Linked DNA regions of Arabidopsis thaliana. The protein of the gene in region 3 purifies or fractionates together with the protein of the main gene of each other region. This does not show direct contact. Each region holds a gene or a part of one and is shown on either strand. Other genes may lie near its edges. The genes, in order: IMPA-8, AT1G32880, ECIP1 and BTF3.

Region 1 (5,730 bases), on a different chromosome or scaffold from region 3:
GTGTTGTGTTTTTATTTTATAAGAAAAGTGAGAAACACGGAGGATCTGGTAACGACAAGTGTCCCACGGTATGTGACTTACACGTGTCCTTCTGAATCACTTTACTTCGTCTAAGTGTATTGTGTACTGTGGCTGGTTCCGATTCGATGGTTCAGTTTTGATATTTATTATTTTATTGAATTTAAGTATGGTGTTCGGAGAAAGGGGACGATTTAGAAAAAGACAAAACAGTCTTTAGTTTTAAAAAGTGATAAAGATACGTTGAGGATGACGTCATGGGAACACGTTTTTGACAGTTGGAGTGTAAACTGCTCTCTGTGGTTCGAAAGGTGAGCCACGTTTGAAGGGACGGGTTCGTCCGCTGTCTAGCCACGGTTTGGGGTTTCGCTTTTTGTAATCTGACCCACGCGCTTTTAGCTTTTGGTGTGGGTCCCTTTTCTTATTCATTATTTTTGGCAATTGTTTGGATTATATTTATTTCTGTGTTTTATTATTGGAAATCCATTGGATTATTCTATGAACTTCTTCTAACTATTATCATCATCAGCCTTACCAAAAAACAAAAGTATTATCATCATCAACTAAGCCAAAGATGGATACGTGGCCAAGGCGGATTGTGTATTTTTTTCATTATGTACCCAAAATACATTGAACCAGTAGTTTAAAGACAATCCAGTCTTGTTGAACCAGTCGAGTTTTTTATTCTTTAATACAACAAAAAAAAAATCAATCAAAATGGAGTTGTCTTCATTCGATTCGGTTTCAAAAATAATTAGACCCTTTCGCATAATTTTATAAATGAATATTTGATTTTATAATCAGCAAGGCCAAGGAGATTTCAAGAATTTGAGTAACTTTTTTACTAAACGTCTAAACCTTTCAACTAAAACCAAACACAACATCAATTAGACGACGAGCTTTAACACAGAAAACTTTTAAAACCCAAAACAATGTACTAGACTCCATGAACGATGGAGCCAAAGCTTTTACATCAACTTTGTACATTCAATTAAAGACCAAGTAAAGCCCTGAGACAACAAAGGTGCAAAGCCTTTGGTCCCATGTAAGATGTTTTTTTTTCACTATAACAAATAATTGTGTTGGGATCTTCCATATAAGGAACTGGAACTTTGGTTCTCTCACACCTGAAAGTCCACATCATCACATCGGACGTTGTTGTTGTTGTTCTCATCATCCTCTTCAAACCAATTCGTCACCAGAATCTTATAAGCCTTCTCGTAGATATCATCGTTTTTGTTCATTTGCAGCTTCGAAATCTTTTCTAGCCCTTCCGCATCTTCAATCAGTAGACAATAAGGGTTCACGTCTTCACTGTTCTTTTCAGCCTCTCCGGCCTTCAACATGTTTTCCAATCCATCCAGACACTTTAAGATGGTGGTTCTTTCATCTGAATATACTAGGATATCACATAATTGTTTTATGCAACTCTGCTCCGCCATGTATCTGAATCACACCAATGGAGAATTGTGAGACTTGATGATCTATAATAAGTACATTAAAGTTGAAAAAAGAAACAAGACAGGGACGTTACTTGATTTGATCATGAGAACCATTTAAGGCCATATTTGAAATTGCCCATACAGCTTCTTTCTTCATGTAGAAGTCAGTATCTTGAGCAAGATTGACCAAGATTGGAATCAAATTTGCATCAATAACTGACTGTAATCACCAGGGGAAAAAGAAAAACAAATTAGTGATAGCAAAAGACAAAAATGGTAAATTTTCATTGGGGATAATAGCAACAAAAGTTTCTCACCTGAATTTGTTCTTTAGTCCCTGCAGTGATGTTTGAAATCACCCAGCAAGCACACTTCTTTATTTTGTTCTCGTGGTTTCGAGTAAGCATGTTGGAAATAATGGGTAAAGCACCACTATTGATCACACACTGAAGAATAAGTTCAAAGAGGTGTATAACAAAGCATTTTGTTGTTTGGTTACAAAATCCAAAAGGTGGACAACGTAAGTTGAATATGAAATACATACCTGTGTCTGCTGATGATTTCCAGCAGTCATAGCCCCAATGGTAAGAAGTGCAGGAACAAGCACCACTGGAGAAGGGAGTCTGCAAAAGAAAAAAAACTGTCAGCCTTTCCTTATCCAAACATGTCACAAAAGGGTTAAATACATATTCTGAGAAGTACTAACTGGAGAATTTGAACTAGTTTTGGGACAAAACCAGCCTCAATCACACTTTGGATTCCATCTTCTGAACCCTCAGACAGATGACATAGTGCCATGCAAGCATTTTTCAAGACATCTTCATCATGTGAATGAAGAAGTATTTCAAGCGCAGGAAGAGCAGGTTTCACCTGTTGAATCATGCTTCATATGTTAAAAAGTATACAAAACAGAGGAAACAGAGACAGAGAGAGAAGTAAGAAGACCTGATCGAAAGCCGGGTGAGGCTTGCCACGACACAAGTTACGCAAAGCCCAAGTAGCAATTCTGAGTGTAGTATCCTTATACAGAAGACGCAACAGTGGCATCAATACCCCAGAGTTAAGAACAAAGTCACGGTAATGTATCGAATGACCAGCAACATTACTCAGTGTCCATATAGCCTGCAAGAATAATGTCAAAACTCATATCTGTGAGTCTGTGACAAGTATTCTCATATCTACACGTAGTAAAATACTTACCTGCTCACGAACATAATCTTTAGGAGAAGCAATAAGCTGAATTAATACTGGAACAGCGTTGTTATTAACTACCACGCCCGGATTGTCAACAGCAATGTTTGTTAGAGCCCAAGCTACCTCATACTATAAAAACAAAGATCACTGAATATATCGTAATCAAAGGTTACACTGATCATCATCATAAAATATCAACTAACTTGAAGCTTGGGGAAAACTTGATTTTTAAGCAACTGAACGAGACGCGGTACAACTCCAGATCGTATCACACAAGATATATCTCCTGGAAAGATATTAGAGTAAATGATAAAAGACGAATCTTTCAAACCGAGATCAAGAAAAAGTAAAGAAAGTAAAAAACAGAGGAAGTTTTTACTCTGTGATGTAATACGTCTGATCTTGGTAACGGATTCAAGTTGTAATGGAGGATCATCTGACCAAAGACCATCGATTATATCATCTGAAACTTCGTTCACCTACAATCCAAACCCTAAAAACCTCACTAGTCCAACACAAAATCAACCAGAGAGTGATTACTTGTGAGATAGTTTTAAACGGACCTCTGTTTTCCAAGCCATGGCTTTTCTCTCTTCTTTTCGACCTCTCCAAAGCAATTTAGAAAACTTAAAGACTAAACCCTAGAAATCTCAACTTGAAATGTGAGAGAGGCAAAGATTTTGCAATCAAGCAAGAATGCAAACAAAAATGGTGAAGCAGAATTTTAACGAAGCGTAAAAAAACGGGTTTTTCAGTTATCGTTTCTTTCTTGATTTTATTTTAACCGTCTGATCAAAAAATCCAGTCGCTACTTAACCGTCTACTCTAAACCGATCAAAATAAAAATTTGATTTGAATCCGGTTTACTCCAACCCAAAATTTCAATTCGACAAACCACAATACCACAAAATCTTGGTTTATGTAAGAACTTGAATTCTCAAAGCCTTTGACCACATGAATGCACAAAATCTTGGCTTATGTAAGAATGGTTTTACATTTGATTTCAATTACATCGACCAAAGCTCCTATGAACTCTATTCGTAAACCAATTAACAACACTTAGAAATGCAACTCAATTCACCATGAATCAGAAAAGCTCATCATCACTATCATCATCACTACTATCACTCAACACAAAGTCTCCTTCATCCTCCACCCATTCATCTTCCGAAAACGCCGATACATTAAACCTCCCAAACCCATCACTCTCCACCGTCATCTCCGCCTTCTCATCCTCATCATACGACAACGAAAACAACTCATCATTACCACCAAATCCCACCTCATCCTCCTCAAACCTTGGTCTCTTCCCCGGAATCAAATCCTTCTCACCAATCTCTCCCTTCTCAACACCACTCCAAGGCACCCACAAATCAGCATGCCTTCCCAATGCTCTATCCATATCACTAACAACCAAAGTCCCAAGATCAGCCTCTCTAGCTTTCCTCAACATATCAGAAAAATCCTTATCATCCGACACCAAAACCAACCAATCAATCCCTCTAGTCATTGAATGTTGTATCTGTCTCTTAACCGCCCAATCCGCAGCCTGAGGCTTATCCTCAACCGTCTTAACATAAACCCCTGCTCGACGTAGCTCAGCCTCTAAACCATATCCAACTTTAGGAGTCAACAAACTCCTCGCAGCCTCATTATACTTCTCATTCCCTGAAACATAACGCTCCTTAAACTTCTGACGTTTCTTACCTTTCAAAGATCTCATCCTATTAACTTTCTTCTGTCTCTCCCTCTCATGAAGCTGCTTGAAATGTTTCTTCAAATCAAGATTGGTTTTACACTTGCGACCACAAACACCACAAATGTACGGATCAATTGGAGTCACTTCTCCTTTCCTCTCCATGAAATCAAGGTTCCTCCTTTCTCGTCTCTCTTCGACGACCCAATGAGGTAAATGGATAAAAGCATGACGATTTGCGTAAGCGGAGATTTCGACGACTCGGCCGAGTTTCTCAGCGACTTTACGGAGAGCTGTTGCGGCTTCGTATGGTGGACCTCGTGGTGGTTTGTTGTCTAAGTCCCATAAGACTACAACTTTCTTCTCCTTTGGTGCAAAGATACCTTCTTTGTTTCTTACCATATCGATTTCTGATGAAGATGCTGATTTCAGACATGATTCGATCCGCCATTGGTGACGAAGTGGGAAGCTTGTGAATTTAGGGTTTTGGAATTTGGAATTGGAGAAGGTAAAGAAGTGAGATTTGTGTGAAAGGAATGGTTTTGGATAAAGGGTTTCGATTGAATTACAGAACAAACTCATTGGAAGCTTCGAATTGCCACTGAAACTAGCGTAGGTGATCGGTGGCTTCGGAGAGATTCGGTAATTGTAGTGGACGTGAATCAGAGATTGTCTCTCTGGGTAAGTTTGGGTGTGGATTGTTATCTTCTAGCATGTCCGGCGAGGAAGACGACGGCTATGTGGATAGTCTGAGCTAACAAAAGTTTATCCTTTTGCTTTTGTTGTTTGAGAGCCTCTTGTACACTCGGAGGGTCTTGACGAGAGAGACTTTACCTTTGTTTTTTACTTTCTAACTGTTTCACTAACTCAAGTTGATCCAGGGATATGAAATATGCTAAAGACACATGAGACACAATGCATAAGGATGGGTGAGAATATATTGGACATGATGGTATTTCAATTTGAAATTATAAGGATGGGTGAGAATATATAAAAAGATGAGTGATTAAAACCATATAAAATGTGAGGTATGCAAAAAAAAATATAAGGACACGAAACTGGTAAAAAAGCTTTTGAGGTATCTTTATGCACAAAAGGTTGTCATGACATGAATGTAGTACTTGACACATATAACGTCGAGTTTGGAGAAGTAATTGACATCTTTCAAGCTCATGAGATAAATTTTGAACTCCTAAAGGTTAGAGAATCCTAAGACAGTAGATCTAGTAGTATATATGGTAAAAAAGAATCAGAGAGAAGCGGAAGCCATTGAAAACCTATACAAAGGTTAACAAGAAAAATGATCTATGTTGTTTTGTTTCTAGTCAAACATGATATAAATGTAACATGTTCATTCTTCTCTATGTAGTAGTATTCGTT
Region 2 (4,143 bases), on a different chromosome or scaffold from region 3:
CTGGAGGAAGATATGTATTTGGAAATCAATGATCTTATGGAACCTGAACCTGAACCAACTTCTGTGGAAGTCATGGAGAATAACTGGAACGAGGATGGTTCTGGTCTCCTGAATGATGATGATTTCGTTGGTGCTGATTCATATTTCCTTGATTTGGGAGTGACAAATCCTCAGTTAGATTTTGTTAGTGGTGATTTGAAAAATGGGTTTGCACAAAGTCTTCAGGTGAATACTTCTTTAATGACTTACCAGGCCAATAATAACCAGTTCCAGCAGCAATCAGGGAAGAACCAAGCTAGTAACTGGCCACTCCGTAACAGCTATACCAGACAGATAAACAATGGATCATCGTGGGTGCAGGAGCTAAACAATGACGGACTTACCGTTACCCGGTTTGGTGAGGCGCCTGGTACAGGTACTTGAAAGCACTAACAGATTTTCCTGTAGATACCTCTTTTCACTCGCATACTAAATATTCTATCTAATTGTGAGGAAAGCGACTGGCTTCTTATCCTAATCATATTCCCTTGACAGGTGATTCATCTGAATTCCTAAACCCTGTTCCTTCTGGTATAAGTACAACTAATGAAGATGACCCGTCAAAAGACGAGTCTAGTAAGTTTGCTTCTAGTGTATGGACTTTCCTGGAATCCATTCCTGCAAAGCCAGCATATGCATCAGAGAATCCATTTGTGAAGCTGAACCTTGTTAGAATGTCAACCAGTGGTGGTCGTTTCAGGTTTACTTCTAAAAGCACAGGTAATAATGTTGTTGTTATGGATAGTGACTCAGCAGTGAAGAGGAACAAGTCTGGAGGAAACAACGATAAGAAGAAGAAGAAGAACAAAGGTTTCTTTTGCTTATCGATCATTGGGGCTTTATGTGCTTTGTTTTGGGTGATCATAGGAACAATGGGAGGTTCAGGGAGGCCTTTGTTATGGTGAGAACCGAAAAATCCAAGAGGTTAAGAGACATAAAGGCTTGGTTTTGTGTGAACCATTAGAGAGTCAAGTCATTGTAATTATTCTCTTGGATTATTAGATTCAGAAGCTGTTTAGTATCACAGTTTATGCTTGGAAGTTTTCTCTGGTATTGTTAAAAAAGTACCAATAGAAATAAGCAAAAGAATTTTCTTATCTTTTAGGATATTTGAACAAATGATGTTACTTAACTAGATTATTAACTTGGAGGTTGTTGTATATCCTCATCATCCTCTTCAAGCCAGTAAGTCTGCAGAATCTTCAAAGCCTTGTCGTAGATCTCGATGTTTTCGTGTCTTTGCAGGTTCAAAATCTTATCTAGCCCTTCCGCTTCGATCAGTCGAGTATACCAGCTCACGTCGTCTCCTGCGTTCTTTTCAGCCTCTCCAACCTTCAATGTGTTTTCCATTCCATCCAGACACTTTAAGATGGTTTTTACATCTGGACAAAACAGGATATCACATAAAGGTTTGATGCAGCTCTGCTCCACCATGTATCTGAATCACACCAATAAATGGAGATTGTGACTTTGATGATCATCTATAAGCATGTTAAGTTGAAAGTGCAAAAAGAAAGAAATAAGACAGGGACGTACTTGATTTGATCATGAGAACCAAGTAAGGTCGCATTTGAAATTGCGCATACAGATTCTTTCTTCATGTCAAATTCAGCATTCTGAGTCAGTTTGACCAAGGTTGGAATCAAATTTGCATCGATTACTGACTGTTATCACCAGGGGAAAACAGTTTAGTTTAGTGAGATAGCAAATAGACAAATTGTTTTATGTTGTGCACCTGAATCATTGTATATATATCAGAATCAAAGATTACACTGATCATCAATAAAAACATCAACTTGATGGGGGAAATTTTTCTTCTAACTTGAAGCTTAGGGAAACTTTCATCGAGAAGAAACTGAATGAGACGATGTACAGCTCCAGATCGTATCACTGTTTCGATAGGACCACGCATATCTTCTGCACATGTAATATAAGAAACATTACGCATATCTTCTGCACATGTAATATAAGAAACATTCGAGTGAATGAAGAATCTTTCAAATCGATCAAGAAAAAGAGTAAAAGAGAGATTTGATTTACTCTTCTTTTTTTTTTGAAAAAATGTTAAATTATATTCAAAAAAAAACAAAACGTTTTTACAACTCGTGCAACGTTTAGCAAAATGAGAAAAGCTGAGAAAAAAAATAGTTAGAAATTAAAGGTGTTTAGAGAATGTTTAGAGTGAGCTGTACGTTGCCCTTGTCATATCTTCGATCACCTGCTTATCTATCCAAGTTATCAAGTGTGACGTGGTGTTCGGTGTTTCTCCATGACGACGCCCATTCCTCTCTCTCCAAACTGTGTGTATTGTAGCTTGAAAGACATACCGGATTAAGAAACCATCGACTCGCTGTAATGACTTGTCTGAAACATAGGCCAGAATTTGTGGCCATTCCTTTGTGAATCTGGTCTTCCATAGCTTCTTAGCTACGTCACCCCAAATTGTCGAGACATAGTTGCAGGAGAAAAACAAATGATCACGAGTTTCCATAGTGTTAGTACAAAACACACAGAGACCCGATTCTCCTCTGTTCCATTTAACCATATGCTCCCCTGTTGAGAGCCTATCTTGGACCGCGAGCCAAGTACAAAACGAAAACTTTGGTGTGGCGTGATTGAACCAACCCCCGTTGTACCAGGGGACTGTGGGAGAAGGAGCTCTGATATGGTGCCACGTTTCTTTGGTAGAGAATGATGCATTGTACACATTATTTCGCCTTGTCTCTGTACTTTAGTATTTTTCTCCAAATCCAAGAGCCTGCATTTGTATTCTGCTTCAATGTCCAAAAATGCTTCCTCCTAAGAAGGTATGTGGTGACCCATTGAACCCATAAAGACTTGCTATTAGAAATGATTCGCCAGACCAACTTTAAACAACAAACATCATTAGCTTTTGTCAAGCTTCGCAAACCCAAACCCCCCTCTATTTTCGGCTTACAAACTTTTTCCCACGATATCTTTGCCTTCTTTGAACTCAGTTCTAAACCCGACCATAGGTAAGCGGAGCAAATCTTGTCAATCTCTCGGATACACTGTCTCGGTAAACGAAAAGCGCCTAGCCAGAAATTGCAAATACTCCAGAGGATAGATTGAATCAAGTTGAGCTACCTGCATATGAGAGGTAGCGTGAAGTCCACGACGCGATGCGTTTCCTAATCTGCTCAAGAAGAGGATCATAATCCTCAGCCATGAGTCTCTTAGTAACAAGAGGCAAACCTAAGTATCGAACTGGCAATTGACCTATATCAAAAGGGAAAAGAGCTGCAATCTCTGCTTTCACTAAAGGTGATACTCCTGCCATATACATTGTCGACTTCTCCATACTTATTTTTAACCCAGAGTACTTATAAAACTCATCAAAAACCTTCACTATACCCTATATGGATCTAACCTTACCATCCGTTAGAACCATCAAATCATCTGCAAAACTTAGATGAGTGAGCTTTAAACGTTGACAATGAGGATGGAAACCAAACTTGTGAGCTCCGGCAGCCTTATCCAACATCTTTGAGAGGACATCCATGCTTATGACAAACAGATATGGCGAGAGAGAGCAACCCTGACGTAAACCCCTTGCACTTTGGAAATAACCAGCGAGATCGCCATTTACTTGGACTGAAAAAGAGGCCGTAGTAATACACAGTTTTAACCAATGTATAAAAACCGCAGGAAAATTCATAGCCAATAAAACATTCAGCAGAAAAGCCAATTGGACCGAGTCAAACGCCTTCGAGATATCTATTTTAATAGCACAACGGGTAGAGACTTAATCTTTATAATAGTCCTTGACTAGTTCCGTAGCAAGTAACAGATTTTCGATGAGTAATCTGTCTTTTACAAACGCCGACTGATTTCCCGCAACAAACTCTGGCAGAAGCACTTTCAATCTGTTAGCAATGATCTTAGAAATTACCTTATAGATTACGTTGCAGCATGAAATAGGTCTATAATCCTTCATTTCCTTAGCTTCTAGCTTCTTTGGAATCAGAGCTAAAATAGTTGAGTTTATTCCTTTTGGAAGGAAACCTTTTAGAAAAAAAGATTGAACTGCCAAAATGAATTCAAGTCCTATGGTAGCCCATGTTGCCTTATAGAACTCTGTGG
Region 3 (6,747 bases):
TTTTAGTTCATGTTCTTTCTAAAAACAATCTCAGTGTCAAGCCCAAACCCATCGATCTTCCTCATCTCCACAACCTTGGATCTCTTAAACAATTTCACCAATGGTTTCACACTAAGCAAATCGTTAGCCGAGTACTTATCCGTCTTCCCAGATATCGACACGTGTAACACACACACCCCTCCGGGCTTTAAAGTCCGTTCGATCTCCCCAACGAACTTCTCCGGGTAAAGCGCGTGATCGAACACGTTTGAGAATTCGAAATCGAATGTCTCTTCGTCGAACGGCTGCGCGTGGAAGTCACCTTTCACCACGAGAGGTGGTCGCGGAACCAGATCTATTCCGACGGAGTCTTCCACGCCGATCAATCTCAACGCCGCAACCTCTTGTCCAACCCGAGCACCGATCGAGAGAGCTTTTGATTGATTTGAGAGAAGACCGCGATCGCTGAGACGTCGGAAGAAAGTGGAGAACACACGAACTTTCCTGTCCCAGTCGCGCGTTGTCCATACCTTACGTAGCTTCGGGTTCTGAGTTTTGTTGAGCTGGTGTTTGATGTATGCTTCGTAGGAGGAGTATCCATGGTGACGGATCCGTATTCCTTCGTCGGCAACGGAGGTGACGGAGGAAGAGGAGGAGAGAGGACGGCGGAGGAATGTGGTGGGGAAGGCGAAGAGGAAGATGATGAGAAAAGAGAGGGAGAGGAAGAGAGAGAGTGTGAAGGGTAGTTTTGGTATTACGAATTTCATGTTAGCTTCGAGACTTCCCTTCCTTGTTGTCTCTGTGTGTACATCGAAGCATATATGGGAATTTATTTAATTAAAGAAATGATTAAAGTTTGGATCATAATTAGAAAAACACCAAATGCAAATAATATAGTTTGTTTTGTCTAATTGTCATCAAGGCATTATTATTGACTCTGAATTGAAACTTGATCCAATATAGCCCCAAAGTTCCGTTGGACTAAATTCAGAGCAATAAAAAGGTCCTCTGAAGAAAAAAGTTAAACATTCGTGAAAAGATAAGCTCCCTGGGCAGAATTCTCAAAGCCTAAAAGTGCAAAACAAAACAACCACAGGGATGCTCAAGAGAGAAAGAGACTTGTACATTCTATCAGTTTTTTTTAGTTCACACACCATTTGGGATATCTCCTCTTGATCTCTAGCCTACATTAGCATCTTCAGTTAGGGAAGTTAAAAACGACGACGAAACCCAACCATTCTTCTTCCCATACTCCACGTAGTCGTTGAATTTCTCCTTTGCGTTTGGGATGTCTAAAGCAAGATCTTCAAGTCCGTCTTTGACTCTTGTGAACCCTTTGGTCATCTGGTTTGTGGTTATGAGTCCTTCACTGAAACTCTCCTGCAGAAGATCCAGCATCATCTTGTCCTTCTTCTTCTCCATACCCATCACCAGTGCTTTCTTCACCACCTCATGGTTGAAGAAAGGCATGCCTAGCTCATGGATGCATTTGCATGCTTCTGATACCAGCCCTGAGCTTTCGTATTCCTCCAGGAGATTTGATATCTTGTCCTTTGCATCTTCCACTGCCCAACCGCTCCCACCTCCCCAGCATCTTAGAAGCCTCTCTCCTGCATGTCGAGCAAAGATGAGTGACCTAGCCATCTTCACGGTTTCAGTTCCGCTTGAGTTAGGGCGTAGTTTGCTACTGATCTCTTCCAGGTTAAAAGGTGCTAAAACATCATCGATCACAGCTCTAGCTAAGAACAGAGCAAGTTCGTTGGACGCATCCAGAATGTCAAGAGCTGTATCTTCTGCAGACTCCAGGAGCATGACGAAACCATCTGCAACATCTTCTGTGGTGAACATCTCGATGTGAAGAGATGAGAGAAGAACAGATGCCATTTCTTTCTCGTGATTCTTCCTGTCCAAAGCAAGTGTTATCAGCTTCTTTAGAAAAATTGGGTTGTACTCGGGTGCTCCTAAATCCTCAAGACTGCGTATGAGTTCTGGTATGTCATCAGAGTTGAAATACTCATGAATGATGGTCACAATGTCTTCCTTGAACCGCTTTAGTTTCTCATCCTCGTTCTGTTGTCGTCCACATTCACCAGAGGGATAACCAAACGAAGCATCAAGCCAACCACCTGAGACAGCTTTTGGCACAATCAAACCAAATTTGGTTCTAGCTGAAGGAATGTCAAGAGCAAGATCATCAAGGCTTTCTCTTAATCTTGAAAATCCCTTCACCATTTGACTAGAGCTTATCAGGTTTTCTGAAGCTGCTTCATTTAGCAGTTTCAATACAGGTGCTTCTGCTGCGTGGTTTTCCAAGGCAGTAACTAAGGCCCTCTTCACAACCTCATGGTGAAAGAAAGAAACACCCAACTCTCTTACGCAACGACATGCCTCATAAGTCTCTCCAGTCTCCACATATTCATTCAAAATGTCAGCAATCTTCTTCTTGACTTCCTCAACAGTGGTTCGAGTCTGTCCACCCCACCTTCTTTCTACTAGCTCAGCATGGTGTGCAGCTGATAGATAGCTTTTCTCTGCAGTTTGGACAACCTGGTAACCTTTAGAAGTTATTGGAAGTGCCTTGGCAGCCCTAGGAAGAAAAGCTGGAGGAAGTATGTCATCCACGACAGCACGTGCAAGGAACAAAGCAAGAACATTGACAGCATCAGGTATATCCACCACAAAGTCATCGGCTGACTCGAGCAGCAGGACAAATCCATCTCTTATCTGGTTCGGGTTAATGACATCAGCATACAATGCGGAAAGCAAAACCGAGGCCATTTCCTTCTCTTTGTCATGCCTGTCCATCGCTACCGAGACAAGCCGCTTGATGAAGTAGGGATGATATTCACTTGAACCAAGTTCAATGAGGTCAGCTGCTGCCACATCAACATCACCGGTGCTGAAGTATTCGTTAATGATGGAAGCTGCAGCTTTCTTGTAATCATCTAATGGGTCTGACAGAGTTGCACCAACAAGCTCGAATGGTTCCTATAAAACAAAAAAAAACACAAAGAGAGCTGAGACTGATGATCTCTAAAAAGTAACACACAATGGATAAATTTTCTACATCATCTGAACAGCAGATGGACAACAGAAACAGTTTTGTGCAAGTACTTTGGCAAGAAAATAATCAACCATCTAGTACGAAAGGTGCAGAAACTACCTCTCCACTGTCATAATTAGGATCATTCGGGTCAATGTGATAGTCTCCATCAGTGTCAATAAGTTTTCCCCAATTTCCTTTCCCACCACCTCCATCTGAAACAAAATTTATCAATCACCGCTACCCGAAGAACAAAGGAAGTATAAATATGCAATCTACACAATTTTCAGCTCCAAATTTGACTAAGAGCCATCCCTTGACACTTGATGGTTTAGAAACCCAAATCTAAACTGATAAAGGTAGTAACTGACCCTTCTTAGAGCGAATAGACCTTCCCGCATGAGACCTTCTGTGCTTCACAGCATTTGACGCACCAGAAGCTTTCCCACCACCAGATGGTTTAGGCAGATGCTCAAGTAAAACCGAGTGAGGTTTTTGTGAGGGTGGAAGATCATCTGCAGTCTGAGTTGCAACTTTCATCATCTCTCTCTGCTGATCCGTTAGGAAACCCTCCATCCTTGGCAATTACCCTAACAGTGAAACATCATCAAATCATTCCTTTAACAAACACATACCATACAATAAATATCAACCTAAAACCAAAACAGCATATAGCTAAAACCACAAGACACTGATGTGAAACGACATAAATGGAGATCTAAAATCACCAATCCATAATACAGAAGCCTATGCATCCCAAGGTTTCATCAAATTCTTCTACGTGTCATTCTTCACATATTTCTACAGCAATCAATCAATTAATCATTCCCGTGACTAAATGCCAAAACCAAAACATCGGAGAAATGTTTGAAACTCCAAGTACCAGTAACTGTTAATGTTCAAATCGCCTCGTCGTCAGCCAAACTATCCACAAAGCAGACCGTCGTACGGAAAAAGAGCAGGCGAGATCCGTGGTAAGAAGAAAGAGGACGGAGGCTAGATCGAAAAGAAGAACCCGAGTCTGAAGCTGCGTAAGCTATCCTGGAAAATAGTAGTAATGTTTGAGAGAAGATTGTTTGGAGAAGAAGATGGATTTGGGAATTTTGGGAGGAACAAAAAGCTTACAGAAATGGAGGCTGCTGATTCTCATCAAAGGTCTCATCATAAGGACTGTTGCCACGTGTTACTGTCTCAACGGTCACGATTGCTCGTTACATGTGCTGGCCTGTCCAAGAGAGATATCGATTAGGGTTATGGATTTAATTTTGGAGTTTTCCTACCAAAATAGTGAAACCAGATAATTTATAAATATCTCTCTGTCAATATCTTATCCCAAATTACTAAAACCTTATCCAAATTATGTTTCTAATTTCAAATCAGTTTATTGAAAAAATTAAACATTATCCACTTTTTGTAACAAAAAAGTTGAAGACTAATGTATTCACTTTATTCTGATTCGTTTTAATGAATGAGATAATTTGTGAAAACATAATGAGCTCAGTCAATAAAAGGGTCCAAAGACAGTAAAATTCAGGTCTGTTAAAGGAGTGATTAGTATATGCTAATCTAAAATATGGTCTTGAAACACATTTTGCAACTATACATTTTTGTGTCACATTGTCCTAAACAATGGGTTTGCTAAAACCTATTGGTTCCACTTCCACAAAATGGGTATTACCCTCATCGAGCTCCCTTAATTAGCTGCAGTGCTGCAGGGAAGGACTCGGCCGATAAGCCGTGAGCTCTTGCTGTTCTGTGTCTCGCTCTGACCCTATAAGACATGTATCATCATCACAAATTAGAAACACCAAAAAGGTACAGACAGAGATCTGAAACCGAATTCTTAGGCATAGTCGAGATGTTTACCTTGCCTAGGGGAGTCTTCTTCCAACACAACACATCAGTGTCATCTTCTGGCCTGCACAAAGTCAGAGGCAGAGTATACTTGAGTAGCTAGCCAAATCACAAAACAACTTACTTTTGAAATGAATAAATATGAACCATGTTTTACCTTTTTTCACCCGGAGGAATGTGTGGAGTACACATAGCAGAAGTTGCATCGCCTTGATCACTGGAACAGCTCATACGCGATGATGCATTGGCTGAAGAACGAACACTTCGAGCCCTCAAGACATTTCCTTGGCAACTTCTCAGAGAATTTGTAACTGCAGGCTTTTCAGATGCGCAGTCAGAGTCGGTTCTTGTAGTCAAATACGACTTGTGAAGCATTCTACGAGAACAACTGAAAAGTCCAAAGAAAAGACTTGCTGCTGCTTTAGCACTCTTTGGTGGAGAACACGCAGAGATAACAAGATTCATTTGGATCTCAACGTTGCATCCTAACACAGATTGGAACGAGTCTGCAATCAATTTCCATGATTTCTCGGCTCTTGCTACATGTTGAGGTGTGTAGAATTCTAACTCAGCTATTGCCACACCTGAAAAGAAAAAAGAATATGCATTTACTTATCTGAGACACAAGCCAAAGTAAAACTTTCAGACCATCTTTGGGAAATATAAGTTACCTTTGTCAACAGTAAGTGAAGTCAACCTTCCTCGTTTCCACAGAAATCTCTTTAGTGAATCAGAACAACACAAATCTGTAACCGTTTTCCACACAGATTCAACTGTTTCATTACAGTTTCTCTCTTGACCCTTCTCGGCATCTGATTTAATAACATCACCAGGACAACCTGATGATGTGCTGGAGAGCTCAACGTCTAGATACATGACCAAGGGTAAGTTATATATAGTTAGTAACCAAGACAACACGAAAAAGAAGCATGAAATAAAGGAAACGAGAATTTATGAATTAGGACCTTTGTTTATTTGGTTTCTTCCATTTTCATCTGTTGCAAAAGATGATGAGTCGGTGTTACTAAGTTGCAAAAGTGCCACAGTGAGCCAAGTTGTCTGGTTTTTCGATGCTCTCAAGTGTTTCTCAGCATCAGATAGTATCTTCAATGCATTTCTCAATTTCTGCATTTCTTCTTCAGCTATATATAGTAGAACAGTATATGATAAAGAGTGAGATCAGGTTTTAATTTGAAGCTGATATTCAAAGTAATCATCACTGGGGTGCTTACATGTATGCCTTGTAAGAAACCGAAGTCTGGTTGCTGAACTACTTTCTTGAGAGTTTCCAGCAATGATGTCCATAATGACATTAGCTAGCTGTGAAATAAGCTGCATTGGATCTATTTTGGATCTCATAAGTTCCCTCGCCCTTATAACCGTGTTTGAAGTATCAGAAGACATGGCAAGATCAAGCAGATCAAGCAATTCATCATCAGAAACAACCCCAATCTGCAGAATCAAAGAAATGTTGATCTTTCACTTCTAAACTATCTAATGTTTCCAAGACAAATATGAAGAAAGAAGTGTAAACTTACAAGCTTGTAGGCCAAAGATGTTGTTATTCTTTTACCGAGCAAACTTAACTGATCAAGCATTATCTCAGCATCCCGAAGTGAACCATCAGATTTAGAAGCAATGAAATCAACTGCCCCTTGATCAAAATCAATGCCTTCTTCAATACAAATCTTAGCCAGCTTAGTTGATATATCCGCATCACATACTTTAGAGAAATGATATTTCTGAGACCGTGAGAGAACGTTACGCGGTAACTTCTCTAGCTCTGATGTAACCAGTATAAAAACCGAATGCTGAGAGAAATTGTCCAAACTGTTCAAAAGAGTACCCCAAGTTTCTTGACATAATAACTG
Region 4 (4,848 bases), on a different chromosome or scaffold from region 3:
AATTTAATGAAGCACTTACAAAGCATTGTCACCTCCATTGAAACTACCATCAGATATAAACGCAGCTGCTGCAAGCAGAAGCGAGGTCAGGTACGCGCTAGCTGTACGGGCTACTGGGATGTCGAATAACGCCTTTTTATTAGGAAGCAATGACTCATAATTGTTCATAACTCCTAAGCAACCAGTCCAATTTGATGGCACAAGAAACGACGGGCTTAATTTGACACCGTGTCGCGCAGCGGTTACTCTAGTTGCTATCTGAAGCAAAGAACTAACAGGTTTAGTTACATGTATACAGCAAAGGAACCTGGAGTTAGTTCTTTTAATTTGCTTCGGCTTACCTCTGAGACACCTAAGATGGAAAGGAACCCGCCAAAAAGAGGAACTACATTAGCAATGTAGTCATCAAAAGTGGCGTCGGGTTTCAGGAAAAACCCACTCATAAGAGCTATGGTTCCAAAGGTTGTAACACATAAAGCAATTGCACTAACATATCCCCAAGGAGTGCTTAATCTAGTTGATTCAAACTGTAGATCAATTTCCGCCTTCGGCTGCACCATACACACCTTTAAAAGCACAAATAACAAACAATTCACAATTAGCTTAAATCCTGAGATCAAAGAACATCAAAGTTAAAGAGTTTTCAAAGCTTTCTTCTACCTGCTTTGTGATCTCATTGGACCTTTCTTCCATAAACCACACAACAACATCACGCCCAGCTGCTTCAGATAGCTTAGCTTCAAGCTTAGGTGTGACTTCATCAATGGGTTTTCTCAGGTTCCCAATGAAGATTCCTCCATCTCCAAACCGGCGAACATCCGTAGCGAAAAATGTATCGAACCCAAAACAGCTCTTCAACTGTCCCATCATCACAAACCACTTTCAAAAACAATGCATTCCAACAAAACAAAGAAGAATCATAGCATAAGAGAAATGAATTCATTTTTTTACCTTGTTGAGATCAAGAGCCTTGAAAGTCTCTTCTGCTTTCTCAAGCCTTTCTTTCTCTTTAGTCAAACTATCACGAGCCAAGCTGTTGTAAATTCCAATGATCGGATTCTCACTGTTGCTTTCCTTGTTCAGCTCCTTGAGCTTACGATCAGTTCTCGTCTTCTCAAGCTTTATCGCAGCTTCGATAGATGGATTCCCCATAAACTTCTTGAACTCCTCGTCTGTTTTCCAATCCATCTCTTGCTGCTTCGACTTCTTTTCCTCCTCTTCTTCACTGCTCTCTGGAGAAGGCGGCGCATTATTGTTATCGTGGTCTTCTTTTTGCTCCTCCGCTAACGCCACCGGAGAAGGAGCTTCGTTCACAGGTTCACGAACGCGATCATCTTCCGCTGAACATCTCAAAGAATGTCTGCTTCTCGTTGTCTGATTCACAGAAGCTTTCCCAAAGTTCGAAAATTCTGCTCTGTCAAAGCGACGAAGATGCAAACTGTGACAGGATTTAAGAGTTAAGGAAGATGATGGAGTAGAAACAAAGAGAGAAGCCATGGTTTACGAAAACTCAGAAAGATTGAGATTTGACGACGAATAGACATGTCTCTGAGAGAGAATTTGTAGAGAAAGTGATGAAATGTCTGGAAAGTTTGAGAAGAAACTCATACAGTACAGGTGGAATGGTTTTTATGCAACAAGACAATGTGTCACATCAAAATCTTCTAATCCACATAGTGAAGAGGAAGAAGAAGACGAGGACCTGATTTGCTGTCAAAGAATCAATAAGACATCAAATAATTGGATAAAAACCTTAAGTCATTAGATGGAAAACAAGATTCTGGTCGGAAACTACAAAAAGGATCGAGCGAACAAACATATTATAAAGATATGTAAAAATCAAAGTGCGGTTTTTTTTTGGATGTGGTCTCGCTCTTTTCTCTCTAAGAAGAAGCAGCAGCAGCTGGTGCTTTCTCTTCAGCAGCAGTTTCGAATGTCTCTCCAACAAGCTCTGGGACATCGTCATCATCCTCTTCTTGTATGGTTGCTGAGGCGGCATTACCTTCACCAGAAGCCTGTTTCTGGAACTGTTCTGCTAGCTTCTTCAGGTTGTCCATGTTGTCTGGTCCTGAAAGAGATCAAAGTAACATAAAGTTAGAGACCTTAGGATCGATGAAGAACATTTAAGAGCTGTACAGTTACATGGTACACACCAAGTTGGCTGATGATCTGAGGAAGGATATCTTGCAATTCTGCAGGAAGCAACACGTTTACATTAATCAGAGAAGATGAAATGAAGAAGAAACAAGAAAGTAGAGATTAAGAGATATTATGAGATGCAATACTTTTGGTCTGAGGAGAACCGCTAACAACCCATGTGTTTGCAGCAATTGAAGCTTGAACTGTAGTAACATTCAAAGGAGGAACAATGATCAGTAACATGAAAAAAAGGTTCTGATGTATAGATAAAAAATGGTTAAAAATGACTTACCCTTAGGGTTGATGAACTGAATAACAACATCATCCTTAAAGATGTTAACTTCTTCAATAGCGGGAATGGAGTTAACTCCAATTCTCTTAAGAGTGCTTTGAAGCCTCTTGTCATCAGTTGTATTGGTCTTGTGCACAGCCTTCTTCTTTCTGCAAGTAAAAATCGAATGGTTTCATAACACAAATCATAGTAAATGCTAAGTATTGAACAATGAAATTGGTTGAATAAAACTCTATACCTTCTGACAGTACCCTTTCCGCCAGTGCGGACGGTATTAGCCATCTTCATCAACTTCTCCCTATTCATCTGTGTATAAACCATAATAAGAAGCAAAATCCATCAATCCCCAAATCACTTCCAAAAGAATCAATGAACACATTAACTGCTAATAATACATTCACAAAAACTTCTTATTATACAAGAAACTAGTGAGAAGAAAGTAAGCGCGAACAGATTTAAACTCAGATGCGTATGAAGACACGGTGATGTGACTAGTAGTTTTAACCTAAATTTAATCATTTTCAATCGATTAGGTATACCAAATCCCCCAATCAAACACACAGAGAAGTTGAAAACCCAGTAAATTCCCAAACACCGACAAAAACTAATCCTATCTACAGAAAGAAGCGAAATGAATCAAGAAAGAAAGATATCTGACATTTTGCAAAATCGGGGATTAGAGAAACCCTAGAACCGGAGAGATAAAACACTAATAGAAAGGAAAATTACAGTGATAATGAATTTACCTTGAGATTAGGGTTCTTCCTTGTTCGAAGAGTGTGAGGAGATAAGAAAATGAAACAAAAAGAAAAGAAACAGAGAGAGGAGAGACGCGGGCGGCGCAGGGTTTTGCCCTTTAACTATATGCTATTCGGAGCCAACCTCGTCTCTTAATCTAACGGTGGATATCAGATATTCCATAAAGAAATCTCCATCACTACCGTTGGATGCTCGATGATAATATTGGCCCATAAGGCCCAAAACTAAACTGGGCCAATAATTATTTACTGGGCTCTTTTGTGCCGTAATCAATCACCAGTATTAGCGCGTAGCAAACCATAATCTTTTGGTTACCAGAATTTCAAAATCCACAAATTTATCTAAATGAGTTTATCAATGAACAGACTTGTTTAGTTGACTAAAATTTAGAGAAGAAAGCTATTCGATTATTGATAATCTCAACAACAATGGTACATTTATTACAAAGTAAGTTTGCTTAACTTGAACTGTATGAAATCCATGAATACAAAAATTACATAAAAGAGATAGAGAGATCTGTATAGAACCAAAAATCAAACGCATAAACATTCACGTGTAAAGAGAATGAATATTGCTTTGTGTTTTGGACCTTGTTTTTTTTACTGCTTCTTCTGCACAACATTTTCCAAATACCATTCATAAGTTTGGGAGAGGCCATCTTTAAGCGAAATCTTCGGTGTCCATCCCAAAGACGCAAGCTTCGAGCTATCCATCAGTTTCCTTGGTGTCCCGTCTGGTTTTGTGGTATCCCAAACAAGCTTTCCTTTAAACCCAACAACTTCTTTCACCAACTCAGCCAATTCTTTGATCGTCACTTCAACACCACTTCCTACATTCACATGCTCAAATCCGCTGTACTGATCCATCAAGAAAACACAAGCATCAGCCAAATCATCGACATGTAAAAACTCCCTCAACGGGCTTCCACTTCCCCAAACCACAACTTCGTCAGCATTATTGGCTTTGGCTTCATGAAACCTCCTCATGAGAGCAGGCAGCACATGGGAATTCTCCGGGTGGAAATTATCATTCTGACCATACAGATTCGTGGGCATACCGGAGATAGCATCCCACTGATGCTGAAGCCGGTAAGCTTGACACATCTTAATACCCGCGATCTTGGCGATCGCATACCATTCGTTTGTCGGTTCGAGCGGACCGGTAAGAAGCGCAGATTCGGGAATCGGCTGAGGAGCAAATTTGGGGTAAATGCAAGATGAACCAAGGAAGAGGAGTTTCTTCACACCGTGTGTATAAGCAGAGTGGATCACATTGGTCTGGATTTGGAGATTGACCCCAATGAAATCAGCTGGGTATGTGTTGTTAGCATGAATCCCACCGACTTTAGCAGCAGCTAGGATGACATAAACTGGTTTCTCTGTAGCAAAGAAAGATTCAACATCTGATTGGCTAGTGAGATCAAGCTCTGAATGGGTTCGAAGGACCAAATTGGTGAAACCCTGATCCTGGAGCTTGCGGACAATGGCAGATCCAACCAATCCCCTATGTCCAGCGACAAAGATCTTGGCGGATTTCTCTAACATAAACGAACCTGATTTCATCTCTGCACAGAATTACGAGGGATCAAAGACCTAGGGTTCCAAAATTTCCACGAAAATCTAAATTCAATTCCACAAAACTCCGTATATAGACATGAA

What was found.
Region 1: the proteins of ECIP1 (region 3) and IMPA-8 fractionate together in Arabidopsis thaliana (co-fractionation; one large-scale study listed by BioGRID). This does not show direct contact.
Region 2: the proteins of ECIP1 (region 3) and AT1G32880 fractionate together in Arabidopsis thaliana (co-fractionation; one large-scale study listed by BioGRID). This does not show direct contact.
Region 4: the proteins of ECIP1 (region 3) and BTF3 fractionate together in Arabidopsis thaliana (co-fractionation; one large-scale study listed by BioGRID). This does not show direct contact.

What each region holds. Positions count from the first base shown.
Region 1 is NC_003076.8:21,117,885-21,123,614, forward strand, and holds IMPA-8 (importin alpha), read right to left. Parts: upstream 3,236-5,730; coding exon 3,218-3,235; intron 3,134-3,217; coding exon 3,034-3,133; intron 2,941-3,033; coding exon 2,858-2,940; intron 2,784-2,857; coding exon 2,661-2,783; intron 2,583-2,660; coding exon 2,406-2,582; intron 2,331-2,405; coding exon 2,167-2,330; intron 2,084-2,166; coding exon 2,005-2,083; intron 1,907-2,004; coding exon 1,778-1,906; intron 1,681-1,777; coding exon 1,553-1,680; intron 1,465-1,552; coding exon 1,140-1,464; 3' UTR 1,062-1,139; downstream 1-1,061. Other genes in the region: AT5G52010 (C2H2-like zinc finger protein), read right to left, coding at 3,742-4,932.
Region 2 is NC_003070.9:11,912,749-11,916,891, forward strand, and holds AT1G32880 (ARM repeat superfamily protein), read right to left. Parts: upstream 1,988-4,143; coding exon 1,862-1,987; intron 1,704-1,861; coding exon 1,576-1,703; intron 1,478-1,575; coding exon 1,180-1,477; downstream 1-1,179. Other genes in the region: NAC13 (NAC domain protein 13), read left to right, coding at 1-415, 535-944.
Region 3 is NC_003075.7:12,779,314-12,786,060, reverse strand, and holds ECIP1 (MA3 domain-containing protein), read right to left. Parts: upstream 4,300-6,747; 5' UTR 4,148-4,299; exon of another isoform or gene 4,064-4,147; 5' UTR 3,751-4,063; exon of another isoform or gene 3,613-3,750; 5' UTR 3,599-3,612; coding exon 3,394-3,598; intron 3,238-3,393; coding exon 3,143-3,237; intron 2,968-3,142; coding exon 1,159-2,967; 3' UTR 864-1,158; downstream 1-863. Other genes in the region: AT4G24805 (S-adenosyl-L-methionine-dependent methyltransferases superfamily protein), read right to left, coding at 3-746; AT4G24790 (AAA-type ATPase family protein), read right to left, coding at 4,716-4,793, 4,889-4,940, 5,034-5,460, 5,548-5,742, 5,842-6,018, 6,109-6,328, 6,415-6,747. UniProt on the Arabidopsis thaliana protein: Involved in target of rapamycin (TOR)-regulated translation control, especially under energy-deficient conditions. Involved in the regulation of the ethylene-mediated signaling pathway. Involved in salt stress responses.
Region 4 is NC_003070.9:6,150,689-6,155,536, forward strand, and holds BTF3 (basic transcription factor 3), read right to left. Parts: upstream 3,295-4,848; 5' UTR 3,178-3,294; intron 2,738-3,177; coding exon 2,670-2,737; intron 2,581-2,669; coding exon 2,432-2,580; intron 2,343-2,431; coding exon 2,286-2,342; intron 2,193-2,285; coding exon 2,154-2,192; intron 2,069-2,153; coding exon 1,884-2,068; 3' UTR 1,696-1,883; downstream 1-1,695. Other genes in the region: EGY3 (ethylene-dependent gravitropism-deficient and yellow-green-like 3), read right to left, coding at 20-258, 342-566, 661-858, 952-1,497; GER2 (NAD(P)-binding Rossmann-fold superfamily protein), read right to left, coding at 3,790-4,754.